Xenopus tropicalis: one gene and its partners. The protein of the gene in region 1 purifies or fractionates together with the protein of each later gene. This does not show direct contact. Links are inferred from orthologs where the notes say so. Each region holds a gene or a part of one and is shown in the gene's direction. Other genes may lie near its edges.

Region 1 (3,365 bases):
AGCTTCAGCAGGGAAGCTGCGAAGACCAAGCTAAAATGGCAGCTGCTATCTTAAAAAAACGGAGGGAACTTCTAGGGCTGTTTACTCGCATACCTCCCCGACTGTCCTGATTTTCACTGGACAGTCCTGATTTTAACAGCTCAGTCTGCAGTCCTGGATTCTTACTGAAAAGTCCCTCGCTTCCCTTTGATTTTCTGCACTGAATACTAAAAAAAGATACAATGTTTCTCAAACTTAATTAAAAAACTAGCTTTTGACAGAGAGCCCAGAAAAATTAACAAGCTGCACTTAGATACATAATTACTAAGACTTGCCATTTAAAGCGCAATTTCACCTTCATTAGCAAAACTAATAACACGCAAAACAAAACCCCCTGAAATGTGTTGAAACTTTAACCTGACAAATTTTGTAAAATGGGAGTGGTATTTAGGGGGTGTTGTCAAAAAAAATGTTGCCACACTGTGCGCCATTTCGTTTTGTCCCTCTTAACATTTTTCAAATGTGGTATGTACTCAGGTATGCTAAAGCTGAAGAATAGATAGTGTTCTAGCTTGCATTATTGTGACTAATCTGTAATACAAGTGACCTGCGATAAATTTGCCTAAAAGAACACCCCCAAATCCCTCTGAATTGTGTGCAAGGGTAGCATGTACAGTACTTCCTGAAAAATGCTCACGCAGACAACATATTTCCTTTTTTTTTTTTTTTAAATAACACAAAACAATGGCACATTAACAAAAAATTTTGAATTTCAGCAAAAATAAAAGTATCGGAGATATTTGTAGATTATGCATTTGTTGGGTATTTGAAATTTTTCTTTGCCTGTACTACTGTAATGACGGGTAAAAAATGTATGTAAAAGGGATCCTGTTATAATATCCGTACAGGTATGGGACCTGATATACAGAATGCTCGGGACCAGGGGTTTTCCAGATAAGGGGTCTTTCCGTAATTTGGATCTCCATAACTTAAGTCTGCTAAAAATCATTTAAATATTGAATAAACCCATTAGGTTTGTTTTGCCTCCAAGAAGGATTAATTATATCTTAGCTAGGAATAAGTACTCTGTACTGCTTTATAATTATAGAGAAAATGGAAATAATTTTTAAAAATTAGAATTATTTGCTTATAATTGAGTCTATAGGAGATGGCCTTTCCGTAATTCGGAACTTAATGGATAAAGTGTTTTTGAATAAGGGATCCCATACCTGTAGTGCTGTTATTTTGTATTGGAAATGTTTGATTAACTTTAGTTTGCTTTGCCTCATCTACGTATTTCTGTCCTTTCAGTTCCCATGGCTAAATAAGCCTAAAGCATCCTGGCACTGTTGTTAGAAAAGGTCTGTCCGATAATAGGGGTCATTTAGTTACTGCATCACTGTTGTGTTCCTGAAAATTTCTCCACAGCCAGTTGCACAAAAAATCTCGTTAACAGCACTTGCTTCAAAAAGCACAGCATAGTTACACTTGGCGCCTCTTGGTGCTACCTGCCTTAAGAAATGTTGTATATTATGTAATTGTATTTTATTTTGTAGGATCTTAACTATGCTTGCATTTTTAATCTTACAGATATGTGCATAAGCCAATTAATCCAGATGACCCTCCCATGGTTGAACAGCCTAAACCACTCTATCCATATAAAACTATCGGATGCGTCTTCAATCACAAGCGTTTTTTAGCCAATAGCCAGCCTTTAGATGCTGTTGAAGTCTGTGTTTTTGACCTGCATGATGAATCCAGGTGGAAACCCATGAGTGAGGAAGCTATTAAATCTGTCTGCTCTCCAGGATCGATTGCTTCACTTCCTCCATTTCCCCCACTCTGCGGCTCTTTGCTTGATGCTGCCACAGAAAGCAATGAAATTGAGCTGCAGCTCAGAGTGCTTGTGTTGGAGCACAGAAAGGTTGGTTTCTGCACAACTATGTATCACAGAGTAAGGCTGTATTATACATCTGGCCAGTTTGTTGGGTATACTGTAATATAAAGATGAACCCAAATATACAAAACTTTATTGCTTTGTTAAAGGACTGTGGTTGGCCTGGGCTGGTACAGGAGCACAAAACCTAATTTACAACATTTCTAGCTTACGTCTTTAGTTAGGCTTTAGTTCTCCTTTAAGATGATACAGGTATGCGACCTGTTGTTTCAGAATGCTCGGGACCTGGGGTTTTCCGGATAAGGGATCTTTCCGTAATTTGGATCTCCACAATTTAAGTCTGCTAAAAATCATTTAAATAATTAATAAACCCAATAGGCTTGTTTTGCCTCCAGTAAGGAATAATTATATCTTAGTTGGGATCAAGTACAAGGTACTGTTTTATTATTACAGAGAAAAAGGTAAATTATAATTATTTACTTATAATGAAGTCTATGGGAGATGGCCTTTCCGTAATTCAGAACTTTCTGGATAATGGGTTTCCGGATAAGGGATCCAATACCTGTATATTTGTAAAATGCAGAAAAAAAGATGCACTTTTATTGTTCTACATTATTGTATAGCTTCTTTATTTTGCTTCTAAAGAAACCTGTTATCGTTCAATTAAAAAAACTGTAAGCCGGGATTAATTATGTTGGGAATAATGAAAATCATATCAATAGATCAGACAGCTCATAAAAGCCAAGTAGACAGTCATGAATGCCTAACCTTCACTGAAAGCATTCACGGCTTGTGTGTATGTTTGCCTTTACTTTGAAATTGTGTTGTGAGCTAAGTTTCTTGGCTGCTATATATGTATTCAGTTCAGTGCAAGGTAAGAAATGTTCACTCCTGTATAATTGTCCCTAAATGCAGGATCTTGGTCTTACGACTGTTTGGGATGACCAGCTTTCCTACCTCCTGTCTCCTGCATTAGCTTCATATGAGATTGAACGTACAACAGGAATATCGGCTGGCAATGAGGAATTTCAGGATTGCATAAGAAGAGCAGTTCCAGATGGCCATACATTCAAAGGATTCCCTATCCACTTTGTACACAGAAATGCAAGACGAGCTTTCGCTACATGCCTACGGTAAGCAGTGATATTTCCTTTTTTTTTTTTATCTGTTGCGGCTCTACTAGTCATATTCTATACACCTACCTATAAAATTGGTATTTTCATCCCTTTCAAGCAGGGCTGCCATCATAAATCATGGGGCCCCTTACAACAAAATTTTTCTGGGCTCCCACTCCCTGCCCCCCCCCCAGTGACCCCTCCCATCAGTACAAAGGACACACACATTGGTAGCCAGGGGCCCCCTAAAACATTGGTAGCCAGGGGTTATGTTTTGCATTGGTGCCAGGGCAGGGACCCCCTAAAACATTGCTAGCCAGCCCAGGGACCCCTAAAACATTGCTGGTGCTCCCCCAGTGTCTTCATACTATGGC
Region 2 (2,863 bases), on another chromosome or scaffold:
GTGGCAGTTGACCAGTTATCTAGATAAAAATTACTTTATTCTACAGGATACAAAACATTATTTGTGTTCTATTTTGCATATTTTGTTATGCATTTAAATCATAGTACATTGTATATTCATATAAATGGTTTATTGTTTACCAGGTGGCATTCCTTGCTGGCCTTGCCGATTTGGAACAGTTATCAATCATGAACAATCCATGTGTGATGGCCACACCATCTATACCAGGGTTTGACTACAGACCTTTTATTGTCAGCTGGTGCTTGAATCTCAAAGTTTTAGATGGATATGTTGTCTCCCAAAAAGAAAGGTAAATAATACTGACTTTTTTCTGAATAAAGAGTGGGTTGCATAATATTTGCTTCAATTATACTTTATATGCTTTTTTTGTTCTTAGTTTTATGACGCAGGGCTGCATACACCACTGCATAAAAACAGATATTACAGGGACCTAAGCTAAAAAAATTAATTTGTATAAACTTACATAATAGTGGGATTGGCTTAACATCTCTTTTTGAAGGCCCATACTGTTAGCGATTCAGTCTGAATGGCATGTCTGACTGGTTTATTGGAATTGCTGCATGCCATAAGACTGAATGAGGACAAAGAGAAATTCATGTATAAAGTACTTTTACCATACTGAACTAATTAAAGCTTTTACTTTTATCATTAAAAATATTCTATATATTGCTAGCTTGAAAGCAGAATGGCTATACAGCCAAGGCAAAGGGAGATCGTATAGGCTTGGCCAGCACATTCCACTAGTCCAGTACCTGGCAACTGTGTGTCCTTTAACTTCAGCACATGGTCTTCAGACAGAAGAGGATGCAAAGTTGGAAAAAATTTTGAATAAACAGAGGTAAATGTTATGTACTGTGTACATATTAAATATAAACCTTGCAGGTAAATCTGCCGTATATAAATAATCCTGTATTTGCTGTAGTTACATAAATATACTACATGTTTGAAATTGTTTTGTTAATGTGCTCTATGGTTTGTAGTCAGTAATAATTTTTTTTAGATACTTTAAATTGTTATTTAGATTTTGATAATTCAGTTAGTTTTAAACTAATACACTGAGTTTTCTGGGTGACAAGATAATTGTAGATCAATTGCTAATGCTGTTCTTTTCTTGGCTAGATTGCACCAGAAGCAATTACTGCATCAAACACGCAGTGAAGGCTACCTCACCTCATCTACTCCCAATAAAAGGCTACCACTCTCACCTGAACAGCAAAGCCCAACACATGTATTACAGAATGGTAGGTAACTGTTTCAATTTGAATCCTAACTGTAATATGCCTTTTGTCAATAGTCCCCACATTTTTTCCCATGCGTATAAATCTTTTAGCAAGCTGTTTTCACAATGAGTATTGGATGAACAATCCCTTTTTAATGTATTAAAAAGGCATATGTATGGTTTTATAGAACAGAATAAAAAAACAGAACTTGTTTTTGTTTTCTTTTAGAACCCACAGTACAAGTAAATAATTGGCTATGGTCAAACAGTTCTGAGGATCACTCCTACGCTGTTAGAAATATCTGTTCCAGTTCCCCAGGGCCATCGCATTACAGTAGTCTTTATATGGAAGACATCCAGACAGATGAAGACAAACTCAACTGCAGTCTTCTTTCCTCAGAATCTACCTTTATGCCTGTTGCTCCAGGCCTTTCCCCTGTTTCACCAACAGAAGAGTTTAGGGTTCCAGCCATAAAATCTGACCTACTGCTCAATGAAACTGTGATAGAGTTTAACAAAGACAGCACTGAAATGCCCCCCACTGCAACTACAGAAATGTCAAAGCTAACTCAAGATCAGACAGCAATGCAAGATGATCAATCATGTGTCTATCCAGTTATCCAAGATGAGAATTTAGCAGAAAATATAATTCATTGCGAGACTTCCATTAGTGTTGAGAGTACGCAGATTTCAAATGGCCAAACATGTCACAGTATAATAATGAATAGTAAACAGTCTTCTGTTCTGGACCAAGATGCAAGCCACCTAAATAAAATAAACACAGCTGCTACAAAAATTCAATCCTGTTGGAGAGGTTTTTATGCAAGAAAGTATAACCCAAAAGTTAAAGATGTATGCTATGAAATCCGACTGAGCAGAATGCAGGAGCACATTGTATTCTTAACAGAAGAAGTCATTAGGTGAGTTTCTACTTGTTATTGGTTAATGTGTAAATACCATTTTTATTATTTACTACACTGACCTGCTTTGAACAAAAAAAAAAAAGAATTTTCTCAAAAAGCATAGCCCAAACAAATTTCTAGTAACAGCTATGTGCTCTATAGCAGTGACACAGTTAGCCAGAATGACTTCAGTTTTTGACATCCAGGATAGTAGTAGTTTTGATATCAATTACAACGGACCTCCTTGCCAGTTTTATTATTTGCAGTGGAAAGGGAAAACACTTGTAGCAACATGGTCTTCCAATGCAGTTACTGAAGAAAATTCTTTATTCTTTAGCATTGTTTTTTTAGTCAAAATTGTTTTTCCAATGACAGTAAATAAGTAGCTTATAAATCTGGTCCCTTGTGTCTGTGCTGTAGGCTAAAAAAAGAGAAAGAAGAGGAGCGAATACAAAGACTTGTGCAAGGGGAAGCCGTGAGGTACCTTTGGGAACAGGTATGTTTTGAATTACTTTTTTACTCTTTAACAATTTACGTACATTATATTGCAAAATATAATATTTTCCAGTGTGACTAGTGTAAGATCTCATCACACTGCATAATCACGCTCTGTGTGATAAGACAAAGCTTTCCAGTTAGGTAGTTTGGAGTAAAAAGATTTTTTTTTTTTTTTTATCTATTTTGAATTGTTTAAAATGTGTGCTTTCCAAAAAACATTGCT
Region 3 (3,662 bases), on another chromosome or scaffold:
TAAATAATACATTTTATTAGTCTAAAAAGTGACATTACAAACTTGTAACTCCTCAAAAGCTTAACCTTGCTAGTTTACATTATATAGGATACATTTCTCTTCTACAGATTTTTAGGATATAGATAACCTCAGTTTAAAGTTGTTCAATTTGAAAGGCAAAGTTCAAATATTAGAATGTATTTTTTCTTGTTTTTAAAACAGGTGGCACAGCTATCCTCTGGTAGCAGAGATTCACGTTTTTTGCGTGAAGAAATTAGACAGCTGGAGGAGCAGTTGCGTCAGAGTGAGAGAGAATGCAAAGATATGGCAAATGAGTTGGAAAGGGAGAAACAAGTTAATGAACAAGTAAGTTATATCAATGACCACCTTCCTTTCATTTGTGTCGGTATATTTTGTGAAGCTAAACAGTGTTGTTATTGGAAGATACTAGGTCGTGTGAACAAAAATAAAGTACATTTTTGTAAATGTTTTTTTAGCTTGGAGACAAAAAGTTTTGTATTGTTCCTGTCTAACTGTAATGTTTTCATACCAAAGCAGATCCCATTTGACAGTGAGATGTAGTTCCCACATTACTACTATCTCAGTCTGGTACTTTTATTATTACTGTGATGTCCTGTGATGTGATTTTTTAGTGTTACTGTTCCTTTAAAAGATCAGAACCCAGGAAAACTTCCCTTTTGACAGTGTGTTCATTGTGCCACTAATTTTTACTAACTGTTACATTTTATTCCATTTTTCTATTGCCAGAGCCTTTAGAATGAATCTTTCTCGCTCACAATTACTGCATCAGTTGCATGCCAATCCAATTTGATTTCTGGTGTGGAACTTGACATTCTATACACCCTAACATTGAAGGGCTCTATAAAAATATATTGCATACAACAGCTTATATGTAAACCTCTGCTTCAGCTAAATAAACCATTTTAATAAAAATATACTAATTTAGTAGTATGTGCTATTGGTTAATCCTATTTTAAGTATTAAGGACCAACCTCATGGTCCGTACTATTCAGGGTGCACACAGATAAACCATGGGTACACATACATGTTCATTCTTATGAGCCAATTAATGAACAAAGTCCTGTGTTTTGCTCCTACACTTCTTCCTGTACAGTTACAGTTAGAGCACCATTATTTCTGATAAGGCGAACTCTAAAGAAGCACAAAGATCATCACAAAATAGTGGTTCAAGGTATATTCCAGTTTGGTAAGATTCTATAATAGGCCTCTTTATATGATATAAACCAGTCGGTTGGTTAATCATCTGTTCTGAAGGCATCGTTTTCTAAATATCACCACCTGGAAATTCCCCTAAGGAAAAGAGCACAAAATGTACATTTAAACAAAAAAGAAACTGATCAGCAGTGAAGGAGCAAATCACATTTTGGGGCATATTTATTCTAGTGTGTAAGCCAACATCACTGGTGATGTGACCCATAGCAAGCAATCAGATCTTTGCTTTTGTTTTCTAACTTAAATGTAATTGCTAATTGGTTGCTATGGGCAATATCACCGGTGATGTTGGCTTACACATTACAATAAATATGCCCTTACGTTTGCATTTGAAAGACCATAAAGAGCATGGTTAATGTGTAAGCCAATTGCAACTTTACTGTGGTGTAATTTCTAAAATGCTTTTGAGGAAAAAATATATTTGTGTAACAATAATGCTTTAGTGCTGTTATTACTGAGATGCATGTAACAATTTTTGTGCCAGAATATAACCATATTTGCAAGTCAAATGTTATCAGAGAATGACTATTAACAATAGGTAATGTGTGGATTTTTTCCTGCAAGCGTCATTGCAGCAGCAAGCGGGAATTGCCCTGGTGCAGTTGCTTTTGATCTGGCAAAATTAGCACAACTGCACATGCATTTTCTCAGAGATAAAATGCAATTGCATGGAAGTTCGCTTGGCATAATTTCCGATGTACGGTGTGAGTAACGCATGCCCAATTCTTTGGGAGCAAGTGTGCTCCTTCTATTGGTGCAGGGTATGAAGGGAACCCTGGAGCTACTGCCTGGTCAGAAGGTGGCAGTAGCTCCAGTGTTCTCCCTGCGTGACTGGGTGCAGCAGTGCCTGATTCAGAATGGAAAGCAGGGAGGACTGAGCAGCACTAAGCACAACTATATGGAATTGTAAAGAGTGCATTTTGATGCAAGTAGGGTCTGCGTAACAATGAAAATAAAAAGTTAAAATGAAAGTTATAAATCCAGCTATTTCATTATTCACTCTTTTAGCTTGCCCTCCGAAATGAAGAAACTGATAATGAAAACAGCAAGTTAAGAAGAGAGGTAGGTGCTGATTAATTCTTAATTTGTGTGTGCTTGTTTGTTGAAAACCCAGCAGGATATTATTGTTTGCTTAGATAGTACTTAAGTGGTTTGAAAAAAATAATCAAATTCATTATTGTTCATTTTTAATAGAAATTTTTTGGAAATGACTGCTTCATTTCATTGTTTTTTGGATAATGGGTTTCTGTATGATTCTTATCTATATTTTTCTCCAAATAATGTTTGTTTTCCAACAGCTAAATGCTACTTGCTTATTGGTAGCTATGAGCAACGAGACCAGTACAAACTTTACACCTTCTGTTAAATTACACTGATAACGTTCAAACGTGGAATCATATAACAGAGCATAACACTGGTGCAGAAAAGGCAGGATTCTGTTAAATGTATTGATTGCAAACAAGAATGGAATGTGACCGAAATGTTTAAAATAAATCAGTATTTACCAAAAAGAAAAAATATCCTGTGTTCATAGCAAGGTTTTTTTTTCCCCAAAGTGCCTCAACCACTGTTAGTTGAACTCAGACCAATTTAATAAATATTTCACTTGCAGTCTCCCTGGCAATTTTTTTTTTCCGCTTTCCAGCTGTACTGTTTCTTCTTCTCCTTGCTGGACAGAAGGCTTACTCCCAGCCCCACCCCTTATTCACAGGTGATGATCGCAGCTGTGGTTGTCCTTAATAAATAAGCCCTCGTAGGGCATAAACACTGCAAAATGAGCTTATATTTTATATTTTACCACGTAAATGTCGAGCATTGTAGTTGATAAAGTGGCAGCCAGTTAGTATGCACTGTTTTCGTGTCTGAGTCTCAGAGTCAGACATTCTGTTGAGGTACAAAAATAATATTGAAATACAGTTATGGGACCTGTTATCCAGAATGCTCGCGACCTGGGGCTTTCCGGATAAGAATTCTTTCCGTAATTTGGATCTCCATACCATAAGTCTGCTAAAAATCATTTAAATATTGAATAAACCCAACAGGATTGTTTTGCCTCCAATACGGATTAATTATATCTTAGTTGGGATCAAGTACAAGGTACTGTTTAATTATTACTGAGAAAAAGGAAATAATCAGAATTATTTGCTTATAATGGAGTCTATGGGAGATGGCCTTTCCATAATTTGGAACTTTCTGGATAATGGGTTTCCAGATAAGGGATCCTATACTTGTACCTGTATTGCTCAGTCAATGGATATAGTTAGTAAACACAGTTATCAAGAGATATATCCATCATCAGATCAGGTGAGACATGACAATTTTAGGTGAAAATGATGTCCATAAAGGCTGCAAATCCAGAAGCAGCATTGCTAGATTTTAGGCATCTTTTCTTTCCAGTTAAAACCACATACCTGTATTATCTAAAGCAA

Evidence for each region.
Region 2: the proteins of cep76 (region 1) and cep97 purify together in Homo sapiens (co-immunoprecipitation; 4 studies listed by BioGRID and IntAct, with this or other methods). This does not show direct contact. The link is inferred for Xenopus tropicalis from reciprocal best matches to the Homo sapiens genes CEP76 and CEP97.
Region 3: the proteins of cep76 (region 1) and cep290 purify together in Homo sapiens (co-immunoprecipitation; 5 studies listed by BioGRID and IntAct, with this or other methods). This does not show direct contact. The link is inferred for Xenopus tropicalis from reciprocal best matches to the Homo sapiens genes CEP76 and CEP290.

Annotation. Positions count from the first base shown.
Region 1 is NC_030682.2:103,543,281-103,546,645, forward strand, and holds part of cep76 (centrosomal protein of 76 kDa), read left to right. Parts: intron 1-1,569; coding exon 1,570-1,903; intron 1,904-2,791; coding exon 2,792-3,009; intron 3,010-3,365. UniProt on the Homo sapiens protein: Centrosomal protein involved in regulation of centriole duplication. Required to limit centriole duplication to once per cell cycle by preventing centriole reduplication.
Region 2 is NC_030678.2:101,955,248-101,958,110, forward strand, and holds part of cep97 (centrosomal protein of 97 kDa), read left to right. Parts: intron 1-143; coding exon 144-310; intron 311-694; coding exon 695-859; intron 860-1,140; coding exon 1,141-1,262; intron 1,263-1,469; coding exon 1,470-2,160; intron 2,161-2,562; coding exon 2,563-2,638; intron 2,639-2,863. UniProt on the Homo sapiens protein: Acts as a key negative regulator of ciliogenesis in collaboration with CCP110 by capping the mother centriole thereby preventing cilia formation. Required for recruitment of CCP110 to the centrosome.
Region 3 is NC_030679.2:54,381,932-54,385,593, reverse strand, and holds part of cep290 (centrosomal protein of 290 kDa), read left to right. Parts: intron 1-201; coding exon 202-345; intron 346-2,241; coding exon 2,242-2,295; intron 2,296-3,662. UniProt on the Homo sapiens protein: Involved in early and late steps in cilia formation. Its association with CCP110 is required for inhibition of primary cilia formation by CCP110.